Linked DNA regions of Caenorhabditis elegans. The protein of the gene in region 2 purifies or fractionates together with the protein of the main gene of each other region. This does not show direct contact. Each region holds a gene or a part of one and is shown on either strand. Other genes may lie near its edges.

Region 1 (5,858 bases), on a different chromosome or scaffold from region 2:
AGTCAAAGCAAAATTCTCAAACTGGTGGAATCGAAAAGCAACCGCACAAGAAGGTGTTGAAGAGGCAGAGGAGCCATCTGAGTGATTTATTAAAGTCAAATATGTATAATGGGCATTTTATCATCTTTTAAAGTTTTTTATTGTAATTAGAATTTCTGTCATATTTCCTTTGTTTTGTTTGTGTTCCATTCAATTTGATCTCTTAATGATCGAATCGTTTTCATCCGGTTTATGTAAGTCTAATCAGTTTGTTTTTCATGTAATCAATATAACTATGCATTTGTTTAAACTCAAAAATTGGTTTAATATACGGGTGAAGATGAACATCCTTTTATATATTACTTTCTTCTAATGATAGAATTGTGATTTATGATCTGTGACCATTAATGTTTTGATTTTAAATACGTAGACAAGTTGAAGAGGCAAACAAATAACGTTTAATATTTAGTTGAAGAGAAAACTTTTTTTTCAAAAACTCGGATAATATTTTTTCCAGTTTTCTTATTCACATTTTAAAAGCACAATTTACAATTGATAATGTTAAAATTCAACAAACTTTTCAAACTTCCCAGGAACCCCCTACAAACTTTGTTTTCCTGTGACGTCACTAAGCTACCTTTGCACTGTAGACGTTCAGATTTGTAGTCTCTCCTCTTTTTGTCCCTCGTGGGAGACACATGTTCGTTGTACTTTGCCCTTTTGTCTACTCCTCTTATCTCTCCTTTCCTCTACACGTACGCAAAGATACACTTTACCCTGATTTTTTGCTTTTCTTTTCCGAAAATCACAACAATTATGTATTTTGTTTTCATTTGAGGAATACGTAGAAGAAAGTTATAAATTTTAGCTAAAATATTTAGAACTACAATTTTGTGACCCCAAAAATAATTCGAAAAATGTATCTTTGATAGTAAATCACCCATTTATTGTGGCTGGCTTGGCTGGTTGTTGACTTGTTTGTTTTGTCTGCAGTTGGTCAATCGATTTGTTTTTTCCCATCGTGTCTAAATATATTTTTAGTTGTTTCTTTTTTCAATTTTATGCGCCCAAAGATACAGTCACCGGTCTCGACGCGACAAAATTTTGCTAAATGAGAAAAGGCGTGCGTCTTTAATGAGTACTGTAGTTTCAAACATAAATAGGTTGCTACATAAATTCTACCGGTTTATCATTGTTTTTTTTCCAGAATTACTAAAATTTAAGTATTTATATCAACGGATATATTTGAGTCTTCTGTAAATAAGCTTATTTATTAATTATTAATTATTATTATTATTTTCGAAAATCTATGAAAAATAGAGTAAAATTCCACAGAAAATTTGAAATTATAGTATTCTTTAAAGACGCACACCTTTTTGTATTTAACAGTAACCAGAATGCATATATTTTGCGAAAAAAGCAAATACATTTTTCATTGAAAATTCACGTAATTTTTTAAAATTAAAATGCAACAATTATTTCTTCAATTATCGATTTCTTTCTCATTTCTCAATTTCTGTGACTTCAGAATGCGGATAAGTGGAGTCACATTATTCCGCGTCTCATCACAACTTCGCAACGTCGTCAACGGACAATGGACGACTACTCACTATACTGTAAAGGATCGATCCACTGATCCACGGTGGAAGGATGTTGATTTGGCACGAGAAAGTGATGTTTATGATGTTGTCATTGTTGGAGGAGGTCCATCTGGTTTATCAGCAGCCATTCGATTGAGACAATTGGCTGAAAAAGCTCAGAAAGGTAAAATCTAAACAAATACATTTTAGAGTAAACATATTTTTTTTAATTTCAGAACTTCGTGTCTGTGTTGTCGAAAAGGCATCTGTTATTGGAGGGCACACTCTCTCAGGAGCTGTAATTGAAACTCGAGCTCTTGATGAACTTATTCCAAATTGGAAAGAGCTGGGAGCTCCAGTTTACCAACAAGTTACCTCTGAATCTATCGCTATTCTCACTGAATCTGGTCGAATTCCAGTTCCAGTGCTACCTGGAGTTCCACTTGCAAATCACGGAAACTATATTGTTCGTCTTGGAAAGGTCGTTCAATGGCTCGGCGAGCAGGCTGAAGCAGCTGGAGTCGAAGTTTGGCCAGAAATCGCTGCATCTGAAGTGCTCTACAATGAAGATGGAAGTGTGAAGGGAATTGCCACAAGTGACGTTGGAATTGGAAAGGATGGAGCACCGAAAGATGGATTTGCTCGTGGTATGGAATTCCACGCGAAATGCACAATTTTCGCTGAAGGATGTAGAGGACATTTGAGCAAGCAAGTTCTCGATAAATTTGATTTGAGAACACATGCAATGACTTATGGAATTGGACTCAAAGAACTTTGGGAAATTGATCCAGCAAAGCATAGACCTGGTTATGTTGAGCATACTATGGGATGGCCATTGGTAAGTTTCTGAAGATCTAAAAAATTAAGAAAAATTGAAAAATCTAGTAAAATGTGAGCTTTTTTTTTGAGTGTTTCAGATTAAAAGATATATTCTAGAATTTAATCTCTAAAAAATGATTTTTCAGAATGTTGATCAATACGGAGGATCCTTCTTGTACCATATCGAGGATCAAGGACAACCACTTGTTTCCGTTGGTTTCGTTGTTGCTCTTGATTACGCGAATCCAAATCTCAATCCATACAAAGAATTCCAAAAATACAAAACTCATCCATCGATTTCTAAACAATTGGAAGGAGGAAAACGAATTGGGTACGGAGCACGAGCTCTCAATGAAGGAGGATTCCAAAGTATCCCGAAGCTTCATTTCCCCGGAGGATGTCTTGTTGGATGCTCAGCTGGTTTCTTGAATGTCGCTAAACTGAAGGGAACTCATAATGCAATGAAAAGTGGAATGGTGGCTGCTGAATCAATTTTCGAGGATATTCAACAAAAGGGAGAGGATGTGCAAACGATTGATCCAGCTACATATGACAAGAATATTCGTGATACTTATGTTGTTAAAGAGCTCAAAGCAACCAGAAATATTCGTCCATCATTCAATACTTCATTGGGATACATTGGAGGACTGATCTATTCTGGAATATTCTATGTTTTCGGTCGAGGAATTGAACCATGGACTCTTGGACACGGAAAGAAGGATAATGAGAAGCTCATTCCAGTGAAGGATGCAAAAGAAATCGATTACCCAAAACCAGATGGAAAGCTAACTTTTGATCTTCTTACATCTGTATCTCTTACTGGAACCAACCATACAGAAGATCAACCTGCTCATTTGACATTGAAAAATGATCAAGTTCCACTTGATGTGAATTTGGCAGTATATGGTGGCCCGGAGGCTAGATTCTGTCCAGCTGGTGAGATTTTAATACAAATTTGACTTTTAAAAACACATAAATAACTTTTTTTTCCAGGAGTCTATGAATTCGTCCCATCCGAAGCTGATGAATCAAAGAAGCGTCTCCAAATCAATGCTCAAAATTGCATTCACTGCAAGACATGCGACATCAAGGATCCTCAACAAAACATTAACTGGGTTACACCAGAAGGAGGTGGTGGCCCAAAATACGAGGGAATGTGAATCCTTTAGCTTCTCGTTTATGTTTGTGTATAATTTTTGTACTTATTTATTCGCCACTATCGACTCGTAGATTATGTATTTCTGTTCTTCAACGGTTTCTCTCAATTTTCTCTCATTTTCGTGTTCCCCATCTTTTGTAATGCCATTACATTTTTATCCAAACCAAATGAATAGATTTCTGATTAGTGTGTACTTGAACGGAAAAGCTTCAATATTGCCATAATTGTGGTACATATATACATTCATCCCACTACAGTATCCTTTTCTGAAAAGATTGCAAAGTGTTGTATAGAAGAAGAGACGCAGATAATCAAACAAGACGTCTGCGCTCGTGTATGTTTGTCTCTGGACAGACATACACACAGAAACACCGACAATGAAGATATGAAGACACACAGACACACAGAAAGCCGTCATCGATTCTCCTGTTTTCTTTGAGCCTTATTTATATTTTTCTTATTACTCCGACGCGTAATTTTGAGATTTTTGCGCCAAAAACGGTACCCAGTCTCGACATGATATTTTTTTTAATGTGATAATTTCAAAACGGTGCACACCTTTGGAGAGTACTTTAATTACAAACTTTTGTAGTTGCGGAATGTTCATCGATTTTCCATCGTATTCCGATGAAAAACATCCTTAACTATTGAAAACTCAAAAAAAAACACGAATTTTAACAGAACGTAAGAAAAGTATGAAAAATCATGAACGGTTCCACACCAACTAGATTAAAAAATTACAGTACTCCTTGAAGGCGCACAAGTTTTTCTCATTTAACTAAAACATGTCGTGTCGAGAATCGGCACCGTATTCTTGGCGCAGGAGTCGCAAAACCTCTGTCTGTGTATTTAGTAATGTAGATTTTCAAGTTTTCTGAAAAATTAATGTATATTTGTAAGTTCAGAATGAGTAGAAAAGATTGCAAAAATATTGTCGAAGACGAAGAAGAAGATGAGAAGAGTAATGGGAATAAATCTGAAAGTCCACAAAATGCTGGCCTAGAAGAAACAATTCAGAATTTTATAGCAACATTTTTACCTGGTTCAAGTGATGAGTAAGAGTAGTAAATAGCATATTAAAATTTTTTTTAAGTTTCAGACCTCATATTACGGATATTCCAAGTTCATCCGAACCTCAAGAAGGATCTAGAGAATGCAGACTCTCCAAAGAAGCACATCGGAAACGTCTGAGAAGAGCTCGTGAAACATCAGAGGAGACTCACACACGTCTTGCCAAGGCTGCAGACTATAAAAGGAAGAGATGCTCAGAAGAGACAGAAGAAGAATATAGAGAACGATTGAAAAGGCAAGCTGAAAGAAAAAAAATGGAAAGAATGCAAGAGTCGGAAGATCAGGCAAATAATCGAAGAATAAAGGCTGCAGAGCATCGACGCCAGTATCTGCAAAGGGAGTCATTCGAAAAAGCTCAGGAAAGAAGGAATAAGGATGCGGAACGGAGAAGGAAGAGTCTCCTGGCTGAAACTCCAGAAGAAGCTGAATTGCGTAGAGCCAAGAATGCTCAGAGACGTCGGGATGCTATTAAGAATGAAACACCAGAGGAAGCTGAAAATCGGCGACAGCGTGATGCAGCAAGAAGACGGCAATATTTGCAGACGGAGACTTCAGAGCAAAAATCAGCTAGGAAAATCCAAGATGCTGCACGAAAACGTCAAAATCGAATTTTGAAGCAAGCAGGGCAAAGTGAAGAATCACTTGCAGTCATCACGGGATCATTGAGCGATGGAACTCTTTCGGGTCTATAAAAATTAATTGAAAATTTTTTTAATAAATAAGTAGTTTGTTGTTTGACCTTTTGCTTTTAAAACCGATAAAATCGTATTAATTTTTTGAATCAACGGTCCGCTCATTTCCACCTATCAGTCTTTAAATTCTGTTGAATCGCAATAAAAACGGCAAGTTTCATCTCTTGTTTGCAACAAAACAGAGAAACTGATAAGACTGATAACGATCAGTGGTCTGATCGATAGTCGATTTCTGTTTTAACACATTTATTCTGAAGTTCTAGAATTTTATTTGTTATTTTAATATTTTCAGGCACAAAATGTTTGCAAGGATAGTGAGCAGAAGAGCAGCAACTGGATTATTTGCCGGAGCCAGCTCCCAGGTTTGTGTGTGCACTTTCGCGTGGGATCAGTTGTAAAATACGCATGGCGCGAATATTTGAATTTGTAAAAATTTTGCCCGCTCAAAGTTGCAATTTGCTTTTCTCTCCCCATTTTCATTCCCAAAACGGCACCGTCCATGGTTCACTCGTTGTTTCTGATCAGAAAGTGATCTTCATCATAATATCTTGCCATTTT
Region 2 (7,872 bases):
TCTGAATAAAGACGTTTGGCGGGAAGTTCAAGTTTTTTTAGGAAACTATATTGGCGGCAATTTTAAATTTTCCGTTTAAATCATTTTGACCAGAAATTCAAGTTTTTTGAATCAAAAATTTTGCGGAAATTTAAATTTTCTGAGAAAATGTTAAGAGGAAATTGAATTTTTGAGAAAAATTTAGCGGAAGTCTAAATTTTCTGGGAATAAAATTTTTCTGAAGTTCAAATTTTCTGAGAAAACTAGGCAATGTCAAACTAAAATTTAATGACACCAAAAATTTCAAATTTACGCCAAAACTTTTTAAAAATTAAAAATGCAATTTACCAACAAATTTACTAGTGAAATTAAACAATTGAATTTTATTCGCCAAAATTTGCTTCACATTTAAAAATTGAAATTTTCTTTTCAACCCAGTCTGTACATTTCCAGACTTTTTCCTGTCGCCCTCTACAGGCTCCTTCAAAAGGTTAAACAATGTATCCTTACCGTCAACATACTCTTGTCCATCGTAGCACGTGTTCCAATATTTGCAGTTATACGTGATGTGGTCTACCTCCACCCGGCGGAAGAACATTTTGCACGCATTACACGAGAGAACCTGCAAATCAAAAAATTTCATGGTTTGTAGTAGTGGGAATTTGTAGGAATTTTGTTCCAGGTTGCTAGATTTTGCAATTTTTGAGCTTTTAAAAATGATTTATCAATGAGATCAAAAAGTTTTTATTTTTAAAATGTGTTTAAAATTATCGGTTTTGTTTTGCCAATAAATAGTATTAAAAAAAAAACTAATAGAGTTACAATTACGTGCTCTGTTCGCACAGCTTTCAAAAGAGCGAAGTACAAGCTTCAGTCATTATTTGCTACTTCCGCCGGCAGCGCAGACAGAAAAAGAAGTGCAAGACAGAGATGTCTAGAGAGTTGAAATATCAATAAGTTCAAACAAGAATGCGTAGAATTTTTTTTTCAAAAATATATGGGCTTTTAAAAATTTTGTTAGGAATTTTTAAACTGATATTTGAACTCTTGCTAAATTTTTGAAATTGACAATTATCGAATTGAAAAAATTTTTGAAAATTGGAAATTGCGGAAAATACCAAAAATGAAAAACGGGCAAAGTGACAAATATGCCGATAATTTAAAAAACCTTAAATAGAATTTGCCAAACTATCGAGTTACCGAAACTTTTAATTGCCGCCCGACATTCCCCGGGTTGCGCCGCTCTCCGTACATACGTGTATTTGGCTGACCCAGTAGATGTCAGGCGCTGATTTTAAATAGAAAACTTTCAAAAAAAGTTGACTTACCCCATAATTGTAGCAGAACGCCGGTTTTCCACAAACCGCACATTTTTCCGACACACTCACGGCACTGGTTTCCGGCTCCATATCCGTCGGCAAATAGTCCGAGCCACACGAGTCAGGCGAAGGGTTGGCAGACATTACTAATTTATTCTATTTAAATATCAGGCCTAGTTTAAGACAGGAGGAGCTTTGGAGATCAAATGAGCAAAAAGAGATGTAATAAGATAAGAAATGTAATATCACAAATTTCTGATTTCTGAAACTTGCGCTATAAATTGCGCCTGAAAGAACTGCAGTCTAGTTGTAAAGATCAAAATTGTGTGAATGTAGTAAAATGAGAACTTGAGGAAAATGGGCGGTGATCAAAAGATCGGAAATGGACAAAAGGTGGTGGTGCTCCGCGAGAGAGACACTGCCACTTTTTCCGTCTGTGTGCCTAGTTGCTCAAAGATCGACGAAATCCGAAAAAGAGAGCAAAGGAGATTTGTATGAATAACTGAACTAAATTGTAGTTCGCTGAGACGTATTAGGGGGTTTTATACTAGATAGAGCCCAAAGAAAATATGTGAAAAAGATACAATGTCGGGTAATATGATGTGTAATTGGGAATTTATAGTGAAAAAAAAAACAGAGAACTGTAAATTTTCATCGGTTTTTTTAGCATAATCTTCCATTGATCATGATTAAAAAACGATTTTTTTTTTGGAAGTTCGATTTTAAAATTTGAGAAAATATGGTACAAACAAAAAACTATTCGACTAAATTCGCGGTCTAAAATCTCAATCGTAACAGTTGTACAAACTATCGGGAGTTTTGGATCTGTCGTATATATTTTTATTTGACGAATATATCGGAAATAGGCAAGGCTTCCGTGTAGGCGCCTGAACAAAATGCCTCGCTGCCTTCAAGGCGACCTCCGTCTGCTTTGCGCCTACAGTCTTCATATAAGTTTTGATTCTTCAAAAATTGCGAATGGACAAAAAATTGTTTTCTTCTTTTCTGTCACTTGTATGTAGTTAGTTATTTTTGATAAAAACCGAGATATAACCAACTAAAATAAAATAGTGAAGTGCAATAATATTATAAGTAATATTGAAGAAAACTTTGAGGAAATTCAAAACTTTGAAAAACAAGCAACAATTTGATTCTGAGCAAAATAGGAATTGTGTCTAATATTTAAAACATTAGAAAATTGTTCTCTCATATGTATCAAATATCAATGATCTGGCTCAAAATTTTACATATGCTCATAATCTAATCCGCTTTCGTATAACTTCTCAAAGTTCAGACTGATCACTTCCGGCTTCTGATTTGTACTTCTGAGAAAGACATAAATCACATATGGCATTAGTCATTTGCTCTTTAATGAGCAAAAGCTTTAGCTGACAAGAAATTCAACCTTTAAAATAACTTTCTAATCAGGTGTATTTTATCCATTAATAAGTGCAGTTATCAAAACCAATAAAGTCAGTAAATACATGTTCCGATTTTTATTTACATATTTGCCCAAAAAAAATTATCATGCATTAATACAAGTATCAATTAATAAGTGTTTAAGTTTAGATTTTGGAAAGTACAGCTGGCAAAGTGTTGTAAGACTGTTTGCATCTTCTGATGTCTTATTGATCACGTGTGATATTGACAGAAGGTCTGCAAATCTAGATGGTCCCGATTGTTGATAGGATAGGAGGCAATATTGAAGAAGGGTAGAACTATATGACTTCTGCCGGGTTGCTAGCAGTCTTCGAGTTCTTTCAGACAACGGGTGGATGGCTGAGAATAGCTTTTTCAATAATTAACCTATGAATTGGGTTACATTGAAATACTTAATTACCTGGATTACAAAACAGCAAGACACTCAGCATAGCGTGCTCCAACTCGGTGACTTTAAGCTCGGCAACACGAGACACTAAACCGCATTGTATGCTATTTAAAAATCCAGCGGAGAACATCGACAATCTGTAAGCAAATGAACAGGTTCATCTAGAAAAAAGTGTGCAAAATTTACATTATATCCGAGTAAATATCCTCGCCATCTGGTGTTGTCACTCTATCAACTTTTGCATTCAGAGCCCTCATTGCACTATCAAGGACTATTGATTTCGAGGAGAAATTTCGGAGAAGCACAACCTATAAGTTCTTAAGCTTAAGCTATACTAAACCGATTTTTTTTCAGACTTTTACGACAAAAAGGCGGTAGGAAATTTTTTGTTTAACTATGTTTTTTTTTAGGAATTTTGATAGATTCCATTAAAAAATAAAAAAAATCAGTGACGTGGTATAATTACAAATCTAATTTTTTTGTGACTCCCACGACTCGACTCCCGTTTTTTTACTCCCGTTTCGGTTTTGTATACCCCACAAACCTTTTCATCATTCTCAATTAAATTCATGAATTCCAAACTTAAAAACGTCTCAACAGCAATATAAGTAGCTTGAAAACTCCATTCTGCCACGGAAATTTCTTGTTTTTCAGTCTTCCGCTTCATCCCTGACCAGAATGTTGTTTGAACCATTTCCTCCAACGTTGGATTCTCCGATGTGTAGAAATTGCATAATTTGTACCGTTTTGTGTAGTTTAAATACAAAACTTCTTGGATTAGAGCATTTGTTGCAAAATCTGGATGACTCATCGGTTTCGTTTTGTAAAGTTTTTCCATTGCTATTGGGCCAAGCTTCATCCCAAGTCTCACGCATTTTTCAAAGCGACAAGCTTTGCATCGTGGTTTGAACTGATCGGCTGGAAAGTCGTTGGCGATACATTCGAGAAGTTTTTAAAAATATTTTCAGAGTTCCTTACCATTTTCGAGGCATTTTTTCCAGTTCCTGCACTGGTAGGTTATCTGCTCAATCACAACGCGTCGGAAGAACATTTTGCACGCATTGCACGTGAGCACCTGAAAATTGAATAAAAACCAAATGTTTTAAAAATTTTATTAGTGAAATTTTTTTAAAAACTCACCCCATAATTATGACAAGATGCATTTCTTCCACAAATTAAACATTTTAAAGTGCTCCTATCCATTGACAATAACGTTTTAAAAACTTTCATGTTGACTGAGAGTTAGCTCACTAAAGCTCACTTAATAAAGCAAGATTAAGCTCATTTTCTCAAGCTCTCATTTTCTGGGTCTCTCATTTATAATTTAGGAAATGAGGAGAAAAGCAGCTGCACAATAATGTTCAAGGAATATGACGTAAGTGCAAAAGATCAAATTATGAAAGCTGGGAGCTTGATATTAAAAGCTGACCGAGGTTTTAATATCAAGCACTTTTGGCAGTTTGGTTTAAAATATTTTTCCTTTTGGAAAATGACCAAAAAATATGCGGAAAATATTTTGTGAAAGGCTAGCCACAGTTTTACCATGCATATAAAAAAGGTTGAATATTTTCAAGGTTTGTTAAAATTATATAATTTTTTTTAAATCTTCTGATACCCATTTGTTCGATAGAGCAGATTTGCAGTATTGCTGTTGTGATGATCAATGCCGGCAATTGATGATTTATGAAATTATCGGCAATTTGGCATTTGGCAAAATTTTAGATTGCTTCAATTTTCAGCAGTTTTCAAACTTAATTATATATTTTTTAATTAAAAAAAAACTATAAAAAACGGATTTTTACAAAAATTTTACAACTTAAGAAACACCTTTATACATTAATACAAATATCAATCAACAATTTTTTCAATTTAACTTGTGGCATGTACATCTGGCAAAGTGTTGTGAGACTGTTAGCGTCTTCCGATGTCTTATTGATAACATGTGATAGTGACAGAAGGTCCGCAAATCTAGAAGGACCCGATTGTTGGTAGGTTAAAAGGCAATATTGAAGAAGGGCAGAACTATATGACTTCTGGCGGGTTGCTAGGAGTCTTCGAGTTCTTTCAGATAACGGGTGGATGGCTGAAAATTGCTTTTTTCAAAAATTAACTTATGAATTGGGTTAAATTGAAAAATTAAATTACCTGGATTACAAAACAGCAAAAAATTTAGCAAAGCGTGCTCCTGCTCGGTAACTTTGAGCTCTTCAACGCGAACCACTAAACTGCTCCGTATGCTGTTTAGAAAATCAATAGAGAACATTGCCAACCTGGGAAAAAAATATAGTTTTTTATTCCAGAAAATTGCAACTTACAGCAAATCCGAGTAAACTTCATTACCATCAGGCGTTATCACTCTATCAACTTTGGCATTCAGAGACCTCATCGCACTATCAAGTTGCATAGATTTTGAAGAGAAATTTCGAAGTAGAACAATCTATAAATTGCGTTCCGTTTTATTGAGATGACTGTCGATGTAATTTTGAAATTTCCGGCAAATCGGCAAACCAGTAGATTGCCGGAATTGAAAATTTCAGGCAAATCGGCAAATTGCCGGGATTAAAAATTTCCGGTAAATCGGTAAAACGGCAATAAGCCAAGTTTTCGAATGTGCCGAAAAAACGGCCATTGGCGAACATTTTTGGCAAACTGTGGTTTTGTACCTTTTTTTTGGAAGGTTCAGAATTTCAAATTCAATCGGCAAAGTTTTACGCATTCTATGAATGTTCCTACATCTATTTTGAAAAGCAAGCAAATTCTATGAAAATATCAAAAGAAAACGGAAAAGCAATTTCAAAAAGGCACAATTTTGACCCCTGGTGCATTTACCGTACCGCTCACCCCTGGTGCATTTACCGTACTCCTACAGTAAGAAACCTAATCGAGAAAGACCAACCTTATCATCATTCTCAATAGAATTCATAAAATCCAAACTCAAAAACATTTCAACGGCAATATAAATAGCTTGAAAACTCCATTCCTCTACTGATATCACTTGTTTTCCAGTTTTTCGCTTCATCCTTGATCGCTTAGTTCTTTGAACCATATCTTCCAGTGTTGGATCCTCAGAAGTGTAGAAATTGCACAATTTGAAGCGTTTTGTGGAGTTTAAAAACATAACATTTTTAATTAGAGAATCCGATTTAAAATCGGGATGGATCAAGTCAGGAAGTTGTATCTTCTCGAGTTGACCTAGCGTCATCCCAAGTTGCAAGCATTTTTCGAAGCGGCACGCTTTGCATTGAAGAATTGGCTGACCGGCTGTAAATAAATTTATTGAAAACTGTGTGCAAATAAAAATAGCTACAATTTTCAAGGCACATGTTCCATTTCTTGCAGTGGTAGGTTAACTGCTCAATCACAACGCGGCGGAAGAACATTTTGCACGCATTGCACGAGAGAACCTGAAATTTATATGTTGTTTAAAAAGCTTTTAGACAAAACAAATATAGTAAAAACATATTTACCCCATAGTTATGACAGGATGCATCTCTCCCACAAATTGTGCATTTCGGAGCATTACTGGTACTCAATTCCATAGCCAAGCTTGGCAACTCATCAATATCTTCCATTTTGAATAAGGAAATCAGTGAGCAAAATGAAAAAAAGAATAAAGCAGGATTTGCTCTTTTTAACAGGCTTTGACTTCCTCGGTCTCTTTTTATATAATTAAAGAGTCGTGGGGAGACAGCTGAACTAGAATGTTCTAAGAACATGTTTATAGATAGGACATAAGATCAAACAACGAAAAAAGTGATCGTACATAGATTTATAGATTTCTGAAAATAATAATTTTTAGTCACGGCTATTTTGAGGGTGTCAATAAGCTCCGGCTCAAAATACACACATTTTTCCGTAACATTTTGGATTGACAAATGTTTGAAAATTTTTGTAAGTGATATTTAATTTAAAAGAAGTGTTATATATGTAACACTTTGGAATTTCTTTAATTTTTAAATTAATTTTAAATTTTTTTTTCAAAAGTTGCAAATTGGTGGCAAATTAATTTGAGAGAAGCTGTTTTTGCACATAAAAAATGAAATTTTTGAGTGCAGGTGAACATTTTGGAAACTTATTTGGAAAATTTCATTGGAAAATTAAAAAAATAATGAGAAAGAACCGAATCTTTTATTTTTGGATCTAGTTTGGTAAAAATTTCACTTTTTTTCCAAAAAATACAACGGTGGAATAGGTTTATGTGCATCTAGAATAATGAAAAAAAATTCAGATCTATTTTTCGGATCATTAGGCCAGTTTTTGCTAGAATATTTTTGAATAACCATCTGTTAAATACCAATTTTTTCAACGTTCAAAAAAAATTTTATTAATTTTTTAGAAATTATGTTTGAAGCTCAGAAACTCACATTTAATAATGATTTTTATGAGAAAGAGTGGAAAAAATTACAAGCAATATTTTGAGATCAGAAAAAACATTAAAGTTCAACGGTAAAAAAAATTTAAATTATAACAGAAACCAGATTTTTGTACTTGACATGAAAATGAAATTGAAAAATCCAGTAGAGATATTGTACGTCTTCATAATACTTGTTGGTAACTGTGCACAGTGAGAGAAGTTCCGTGAAACGAGACGATCCATTATGCTGATAGGAGAGCTTACAATATTGCATGAGCGCGGAGCCATAGGCTTTTTGTTGCTCTGTGAGCACGGCTACTGCGCTTTCGGAGAGGTCGTCGAGAGCTGGAAATTTTTTGAAATTATCAACAAAAAAAACGGATTTTTGAACT
Region 3 (8,887 bases), on a different chromosome or scaffold from region 2:
TTAGCACTATGTCATTTTTTAATGAAAAATCGAATTTGTGGTTACCGTATCCCTAAATCCGTGCAAAAACCGCATCAATGCACCGGATTTTACGACAAAATGCGGAAAAACGCGGTTCTACGTAATAATCGAATTTTTTCTGCATTTTGTCGTAAGATCCGATGCATTGGTGTGATGTTTGGGGCTACAGTAACCCAAAAATGACAATTTTTCGGCGTTTTCCGCACCAAAAATCGATAATTAAGTGGATTTTGCAGTTTTTCCGCAAAAAAAAAACCTACCCGTCTTATCTCGAATCTTGGGCGGTGTGATTGATTCCACAAATGCACAAATGATAGTTTCTCCGGTGCAGCGGCTCGCGATACTTGCACAATCGTCTCGATCGCACATTTTCTATGGATTTTCCGGTTTTTTGGGGTAAAAAATGGGTGAAAATAGGTAAAAAAAAGCCGGAATTTTAACCGATTTTGTGCGGAAAATAAGTGCAAAATTGTGAAAAAAAAACCCAATAATTAGTATTGACAAACACGTTTTCGAGAATAAAACCGAAAAAAAAACCAAAAAAAAAATCCCATTATTCCGTGCAATTTTCACGGGAAAAATAGCAATCTGGAAGTGCTGACGGTGGCAATTGATCCAATATTGATGAGTATCGATCCATATCTTCTGGATGATTTTGGAGCAGTTTTCGGAACATGATTGTCTGAATATTTCAGGTTTTTAGGCGAAAATTTAGTGATTTTGACAAAGTTTTCACGTGAAAAATTGAAAATTTGGGCATAGCTTCCGCATCTCCAGTGACAAATGTGCTCTATTGCACAAATTGTTGGTTGGAATACGGTATTTATTGCATGTTTCAGCCGAGAATACCACTATTCAAACCATCAATTCGGATAGAGAAACACACAAGTCACAGACAATATACAGGGAAATTCAGTTCAGTTGCCGAGTTGCCGTACTCAAAATTTATAGCATTCCTCGGTAACTGGGATGAAAAACGCCGAAAATGTTAGAAAAAAAAACGGATAAGCTTAGAAATTCAGATTTTCAACACAATTTTGAGAAAAATTAGCAAAATCCAAGCTAATCCTAGGTTTTCAACAAAAAATTGGAAATTAGGTAGAATTTTTCGGTTTTTACAGCTTTTTAATTTAAAAAACTTTTTTAAAGTTTAAAAAAAATTTACATTTTTGGAAAAAAAACTAGTCAAAATGTGTGAAATTTTTCAAATTTTTTGAAAAATGTCGTCAGAAAATTGATTTAAATTTAGAAAATGGACTAAAACTTTTTCTAAGCGTAGCAAAATCGGTCAAAGTATCCTAATTTGTTTAGATATTTGAAAAATTTTGAATTTTTTTTAATTCCTGAAAATTTCCAATTTTTCATTTTTTTGCAAAGGAGGCCAGAAATATCTGAAAACGGTATGGAAAATGGGTTTTCCGAATTTTTATCTAATTTTTGTTGACAAAATAATTTAATTTACATAAAAATCAACCTTTTTAATAAAATATTCACATTTCTAACAAAAGTTAGTAAAATATCAAATTTTTAGCGCATTTTTAGTAAAAATTAAGGCTCTAAAATGCCAATTAAAGTGGAAAATTATAAAAAATTCTGCATAAAACCGGTAAAATTTAACCAGAAATATCAAAATTTCAGCCAAAGTGGGAGCTTCCAAAATAAACTTTTTGGATCTAAAATTGAATGTTTTTTTTTCACTTTTTTTAACGCAAAATTCCGAATTTCCAGGCAATTTAGGGTTAAAATTTCCGATTTTCTCAGCTCATTTTTAGCGGAAAATCCCAAATTTCCACTCAAAACCCCGTACCACAAGACACGCAGGAGTCTGTGCATACGAATCCGACGTGTTCACTTTTTTCGGCATCACAAGTTCATGAGAATCGGCAATTTTTTTCCATTCAACAGCGTCATATCTTCCATTGATTAGCATAGCTTTGAACATAACGTGATTATCGATTGATATGACGTCATTTAGTGCTCGAGCCGAAGGACTATCATCTGCTCCGCCAGTGTATTTTAGAATTGGGCATCTGCAAAAAAAAAGGCGATTTTTGGTGAAAATTTTAAGTTTTTTGGCCAAAAATTTATGAAATTTGGCCCAATTTTGGCTTTTAAAAGGTGTTTTTCCTGAAAAATGAAAATTTGGGCATAGCTTCCGCATCCCCGGTGACAAATGTGCTCTATTGCACCGAATTGTTGGTTGGAATACGGTATTTATTGCATATTTCAGCCGAGAATACCACTATTCAAACCATCAATTCGGATAGAGAAACACACAAGTCACAGACAGTATTGGGAAATTCAGTTGCCAAGTTGCCGTATAATTTTGACCTACTTTGCGCAAAGTCTGAAAAGGTTGGGTCTCGCCACGAAAAAAAATTCGAATTTCCTTTAAAAATAAACAAAAAATACAAATTTTCCGATTTTCATGGGAAAAACATCGAAAAATTCAAAAATTTGCCGTTTTTTCCGTAAAAAACGGATTTTTTACCTGGAAAAAGCCACAAAAAATTCCGAAAAACAAGCGGAAAAGCTAAAAATTCTAATTTTCAGCAGGATTTTGATAAAAAATTAGAACAATCCAAGAAACCACTAGGTTTTCAACAAAAATTGGAAATTGAGCAGAATTTTTCAGTTTTTACAGCTTTAAAAAAAAACATCATAAATTCCGAGTTACCGTACCCAAATTTATAGCTTTCCTCGGAAACTGGGATTTAAAAAAACCCAAAAAACTACCAATTTTTAACAGAAAATTGTCAGAAAAAAGGGATTTTTATGGATTTTTTTTCAAATTTTATAATAAATTTTAATGTCGAAATTTCCAAATTTTCTACTTTACACCCGAAAACAGCCAAATTTCCGCGCTAAATGAAAATTTGGGCATAGCTTCTGCATCTCCAGTGACAAATGTGCTCTATTGCACAAATTGTTGGTTGGAATACGGTATTTATTGCATATTTCAGCCGAGAATACCACTATTCAAACCATCAATTCGGATAGAGAAACACACAAGTCACAGACAATATACAGGGAAATTTTCTGAAAATTTTCTGGATTTTTGACATTTTCAACCAAAAATATTCTAGAATTTCACAGAAAAATCTGGAAAATTCCAGGATTTTTCCTATATCATTTACTATATATAAAGCGCGTGTCCTTCTGTCCTTATGTAGTTTGATCTCTGATCAGAGCAACGAAATTTTGGGAAACCTTATGCTAAGTGCGCAGCAGACATCGATCGAGGTCCGCGATAGACACCGTATATCTAATGTGTTTTCTCAAAAAGTCGGGGGCCGCGCCGTAGGTGCGGTCCACGGCTGGTTTCTTATATTTTCCACATAGAAAATGTGAATTTCCCGATTTTTTTCCAATATTTTGGTGAAATTGTATGATATTCACTGAAAAAAATGTAAAAACTGATGAAATTTGATGATCAAATGCAATTTTCTCCGAAAATTTGTACAAATTTCGATTTATGGTCAACATTTTGACATTTTTCCGGAATTTTTCTGGTAAAATTTCCAGATTTTCACTGAAGAAATTTTGTAAAAAGCCAATTTTTAGTGAAAGTTTATGTTTCTGTGAAATTAGCTTTTATATTTCTAATTTCTGTCTGAAAATAAGCCCGAAACAGTCAATTTTTCTCGATTTTACAGAGTTTTTATCTAAAAATTCGATTTTTTTTTTTCGTTTTTTTTACAGAAAGTTATAAAATTAAGATTTTTAAGATTTTTTTTAGTTTTTAACATTACTAACGTAACAAGTATTCCATTCTTTTCATCTAATACATGTGCTTCCATTTCATCAACTTCCACAACGACTCCCCACGAAATTTTTACTTCTCCAGTTGCTACCGCCTGAAAAAAATTGAAATTTTTATTGATTTTCGGCATATTTTGGGGGAAAAATTTGAGCATTTTTCGTGTTTTCAGCTCGAAAATTGGGCGAAAATTGAGTTTTTTGTGAATTTTTTGCAATGTTTCGGTTTTTAGGCAAAAATTTGGGCATTTTTAATTAATTTTCCGAGTTTTTAGCCGAAAAAAAATTTTTTTTGGCCAAAAAAAACAGATTTTTGTATAATTAGTGCAATTTGGATAGTTTTTCCGTGTTTTGAACAGAAAATTGGACAAAAAGTCTTTTTTTTTTTTTGGATATTTTTTCGCAATTTTTAGGTTCTTATACAAAAATTTGGGTATTTTAGAGTATTTTCCAGGTTTTAGCGGAAATTTGGGCAAAAAATTGAACTTTTTGGAGAACTTTTAGGTTTTTATACAAAAATTTGGATATTTTAGATCATTTTTAAGTTGTTAGCTGAAATTTGGGCAAAAATACCAAAATGGCTCAACTTTGTCATAAAAATTCGTTTTTTCGGGAGAAAAGTTATATTTTTAGTCGAAATTTGCCATTTTTTAAATTTTTTAGCTCTAAATTCACATTTTTTTACTTGAACATTGGACATTCGGCGGCTCAAAACTCCAATTTTCTGCTCTAAATTCACTTTTTCAGCAGTTTTCCGAGCTCTAGATCAAAATTTATCGATTTTTCTCGATTTTCCACCTCTTTCTCCTCATTTTCCTCGACAACAAAGTGTTTTACAGCCTCAACAGCGACCCATTTACACCCTTTTCGTTCGATTTGCTCCTTGATTTTTAGCACCAGTTGATTGCTGGTATTCACGTATCGGCCCACATTTTTCACGATTTTCGCGTCAAAAGCGTCTCCCGGCACGAAAATTGTGCCTTTTTCGTCGTTTTGAGCAAACGCGTAGCTATCCGTGGTGCTGGTCACCTGGGCGATCTGGAAATACGGGATTTTCGAGATTTTTTAGCTTTAAAACTATGGAAAATTCAATTTTCTGACTATTTTTTCACTTAAAACCAAGTTTTTAACCCTAAAAACCCACCAATGGCCCGAAAACTTCATTGGAAATTCTGGCGGCCGCCAACATTGAGCCTTCGAGCTTTTTCACGAGTTTTGCCTGATAATTGCAGTTATTTTTGCGTCCTATCTGTTTAATAACCACCATTTGCACAGTTTCGTTGTATCTGAAACACTTTATCGATTTTTTCCGGGAAAAGTTCGAAAAAACTTGAATTTTCACCCAAAACTTTGATTTTTAATTGATTTATGTAACTTTTCCAGCAAAAAAAACTCACGAAAACTTGTCGAGCAAGCTTAAAAGCGTCTCGTTCTTGGTTCTGGCCGCTGCAATCGGTATAAATACGTTTCCAAGACTGGTGGTGGCGAATGCGTAGGTTTCCTCAAGTTTTGAGATGATTCCAGACAATTCCGTTGGTTCTGGCATAGTTTTTTGCTTGAAATCTCTAAATTTTCAGTTATTCTAACAAAAAATCACGAAAAAACCGTTGAAATCAAAGATTTTGGCTCAAAAATAAACAATTTTATTCAAAAAACAAAACGCGATAAACAACACGCGCTGGCGGGATATCGGAGTGTCGTTAATTCAAATGCGCGGGAGTTCAAACCGAAAAATTGCAATATATCGCAGAAAGTGCGGCAAAACCCCGATTTAAATCAATTTAATTCGCAATTTCAAAAGATTTTAGTAATGAAACATTAATAAATTTATTCCAGTGTTCAGAAGTTGCATATGTGTGAAGTAGGTCAATGATATATGGGGGAAAATCACGAGAAAAAAAAATCGATAAAAGTTCACAAAAATGGTGTAGAAAGTGAGAAAAAGCACATTAGTCAGGGTAAATTAAAAGAATTGCGCCATGTTGGGCAGAAAATGAGATTCTATTAACAATATGCGACAATTTTCGGCGAAAAAACACAATAAAAACAGAAGAAAAACGACAATTTTTAGGTAAAAGTCGATAATTTCAGGGTTTTTTTGGAAAAATCAATAATATTAGCGGTTACTATTAGAATTCTAGGATACTAGGCAATTCTACAAGCAATTTAATTAAGAAAATAGGGGAAAATACAAAAAAAACAGGAATTATCGATTTTCCGGCGGAAAAATCGATAATTTTGTGGATTTTGTTGGCGGAAATGGTGGTGGAATTGTGAGAGGAAGTGATTTTTAATGATAATTAAAAAGAAAACAAGAGATCGGTTGAAAAATTATCGATTTTCAAGCAAAAAATCGATAGTTTGGGCGGAATTGGTCATGGAATTGTAATCGGAAGTGATTTTTAGCAATAATTCAAAAAAAAAACAACGAGATCGGGAAAAAGTGATGAAAAAATAGCGAAAAATCGATAAATTTCGTAAAAAATCGATTTTTCTGTAATTTAGAATTGGTCATGGAATTGTAATCGGAATTGATTTTTTTGACATGAAATCGGGATAAAAACAACGAGATCGGGAAAAAGTGATGAAAAATTTGCGAAAAATCGATAAATTTCTAGCGGAAAATCGATTTTCAGTGGGTTTTAAAGAAAACTATCATGAATTCATGATAGCAATAGGGGGGGGGGGGGTTTCAGTGAGAAATTAGGATAAATTGATTTTTAAATATTAGCGAAAAATCGATAAAAATCGATTTTCTATCAAAAAAAAATCAATAATAATTAATTCCCTAGCGGAAAAATCGATTTTTCAGTGGGTTTTTAAAGAAAATTATTATGAATCAGTGGGAAATCGAGTGAAAACGACGGCAAATTATAGAAAATACGAATTCAACAGAAAAAAATCGATAATTATTGATTTTCCAGGGGAAAAAAACAATTTTTCCAGTCGGAATTCAAATTAAAAACCGGCAAAATTGCGACAAAACGTGACGAATGTTCAGTAATCTTGATTTTCAGTTCGTTGACGTCGAGCACTGTGCCGAGCGGCCGAAAAATCGATAATCCATGCGAATTTTCAAGTTTTTCGCACATTTTTCCGTTCATCCAAAGGGTGAAGCATGGGACATCGATGTGGGCGTTGAAGCGGTTCTGGAAATTAAAAAATTAAAAAATTTTGAGATTTTTCAGGGCGAAAATCGCATTTTTCAATGAAAATTGGATGAAAATCTTGCGCAAATACACTGAAACTGACAGCAATTTGCAAAAAATTCGAATTTTCGGTGAAATTTACCTTTAAAAAAAAATGAAATTTTCTATATTTTTTGTCGTAACTCCGCAGTTTTTCGTAGGATTTAGTGTGGACTAGGTTACTGTAGCACCAAAAGTTTGCAGTGCACCAGATCTTACGACAAACTGCAGAAAATTTAAATTTTTATTGAAAATCTCCTAAAACATGCAATTTGATCTCAATTTCCACCTAAAATTCAAGTAAAAGGTGTTTGCACAAATTTGACGCTACAGTAATCCAAAAAACACCAGATTTGACGACAATTTGCAGAAAAATCTGAATATTCGGTCAAATTATCAACAAAAAAAAAAGAAGCAATTTTCTAGATTTTTTCACGTTTTTGAACTCAATTTTTACTGAAAATTCAAGTTTTGTGCAATTTGTCGTAAAATACAGTGTTTTGCACACATCTGACGCTACAGTAATCCAAGAAACACCAGATTTGACGACAATTCGCAGAAAATTCGAATTTTCGGTGAAATTTACCTTTAAAAAAAAAGCCATTTTCTTTACTTTTTCACGTTTTTGAACTCAATTCTTACCGAAAATTCAAGAAATTTTTACATTTCTGCAATTTGTCGTAAGATTCTGTGTACTGCACATATATACGGCTACAGTAATCTAAGAAACACCGGATTCGACGACAACTTGCAGAAATTTCGACTTTTTTCTGCAATTTGTCGTCAGATTTGGTGTAAACACCGATTTATGGCTACAGTAACCGGAAAACTGGATTTGAACGGTTTTTTTTTGGTAAAAAATGGAGTTTTTCTACAAAAAGTATTAAATTGCGCAAAATTTTGACGACAAAACGCGAAAAATTCAAATTCTACGTTTAAACGGGATTATTCTGCATTCTGTCGTAAGGTTCGGTGTATTACCGATGTGTTTGCACAGGACCAGGAGTTTTCGCAGTTTTTCGCAGCTCAAAAATCGCACTTTCACGGCTGAAAAATCACGTTTTCCGGATTTGTAGAGAAAATTCACGATAAATTCAAAATTTTCATTGAAAATCGTACGAAAATCGCGATTTCCATATAAAATTTGTTGTAAAAGCCCCATTTTTCACACATTTTCGAATCATTTTGAAACAAAAATTATTTATTTTTAAACTTTGGGGATTACTGTAGCCCCTGTGAATCTGTGCAAACACCCAAATACACCGAATCTGACGCAAAATTGCAGAAAATCCGCAATTTGTCGTGTGAAGTCCGGTGTTTGCATGGAATTCACACGATTTTCCACTAGTTTTTGGCGTAAAAATGCTCGCAAAATTATCGATTTTTCCTGCATCATTTTTCGAGAAAAATCACAAATTTTGCATACATTTTTCACGATTTCCGGCCCCCCAGAATTATTATCGATGAAATCCTCGTGCCATGCCATTGAAAACGCGAGGAGCCCCAAATTGTTCCCAGTGAATTCACTCAAATCCACGTGGAATTTCGAGCGTTGGTGCGTATTGGGAAGGTAGCCAGCGTCGTTGTTCCAAAATGTGCAAATTTCGGTGGTGCCGCAGGAGCCGCCGCCGCCGGTGGCACTGAACCATTCACACATTCGTGGACGTTTATCAATATATTGATTATGGAGGCAACGGAAATCACGGCGAATGTCGTAACGGGTGGAACGGACGGCGGCACACATTGTTGGCGGTAAAGTCCTGAAAAAATCGATAATTTTTTTCGTGTGAAATTATCGATTTTTTTTGTTGGTAAACACAATCTGACGACAAATTGCAGAAAAAAGTCGAAATTTCTGCAAGTTGTCGTCAAATCCGGTGTTTCTTAGATTACTGTAACCATATATATGTGCAGTACAC

What was found.
Region 1: the proteins of nhr-188 (region 2) and C05D11.13 fractionate together in Caenorhabditis elegans (co-fractionation; one large-scale study listed by BioGRID). This does not show direct contact.
Region 3: the proteins of nhr-188 (region 2) and Y104H12D.2 fractionate together in Caenorhabditis elegans (co-fractionation; one large-scale study listed by BioGRID). This does not show direct contact.

What each region holds. Positions count from the first base shown.
Region 1 is NC_003281.10:6,442,557-6,448,414, reverse strand, and holds C05D11.13 (Vicilin-like seed storage protein At2g18540), read left to right. Parts: upstream 1-3,828; 5' UTR 3,829-4,009; intron 4,010-4,442; 5' UTR 4,443-4,443; coding exon 4,444-4,592; intron 4,593-4,630; coding exon 4,631-5,300; 3' UTR 5,301-5,358; downstream 5,359-5,858. Other genes in the region: T26A5.6 (UDENN domain-containing protein), read left to right, coding at 1-85; let-721 (Electron transfer flavoprotein-ubiquinone oxidoreductase, mitochondrial), read left to right, coding at 1,509-1,743, 1,796-2,397, 2,525-3,314, 3,372-3,538; mel-32 (Serine hydroxymethyltransferase), read left to right, coding at 5,600-5,662.
Region 2 is NC_003283.11:3,853,506-3,861,377, forward strand, and holds nhr-188 (Nuclear Hormone Receptor family), read right to left. Parts: upstream 4,357-7,872; coding exon 4,267-4,356; intron 4,202-4,266; coding exon 4,105-4,201; intron 4,045-4,104; coding exon 3,671-4,044; intron 3,435-3,670; coding exon 3,313-3,434; intron 3,264-3,312; coding exon 3,139-3,263; intron 3,078-3,138; coding exon 2,824-3,077; 3' UTR 2,791-2,823; downstream 1-2,790. Other genes in the region: nhr-186 (Nuclear Hormone Receptor family), read right to left, coding at 490-601, 1,308-1,442; nhr-189 (Nuclear Hormone Receptor family), read right to left, coding at 4,956-5,209, 5,272-5,396, 5,442-5,563, 6,023-6,387, 6,434-6,530, 6,594-6,698; nhr-187 (Nuclear Hormone Receptor family), read right to left, coding at 7,584-7,825.
Region 3 is NC_003282.8:1,174,478-1,183,364, reverse strand, and holds Y104H12D.2 (DUF7930 domain-containing protein), read right to left. Parts: upstream 5,344-8,887; 5' UTR 5,327-5,343; coding exon 5,178-5,326; intron 5,067-5,177; coding exon 4,925-5,066; intron 4,819-4,924; coding exon 4,579-4,818; intron 3,879-4,578; coding exon 3,778-3,878; intron 2,052-3,777; coding exon 1,829-2,051; intron 774-1,828; exon of another isoform or gene 704-773; coding exon 575-703; 3' UTR 501-574; downstream 1-500. Other genes in the region: rmif-2 (RecQ-mediated genome instability protein 2 homolog), read right to left, coding at 282-390; cec-2 (Chromo domain-containing protein), read right to left, coding at 6,690-6,929, 8,395-8,728.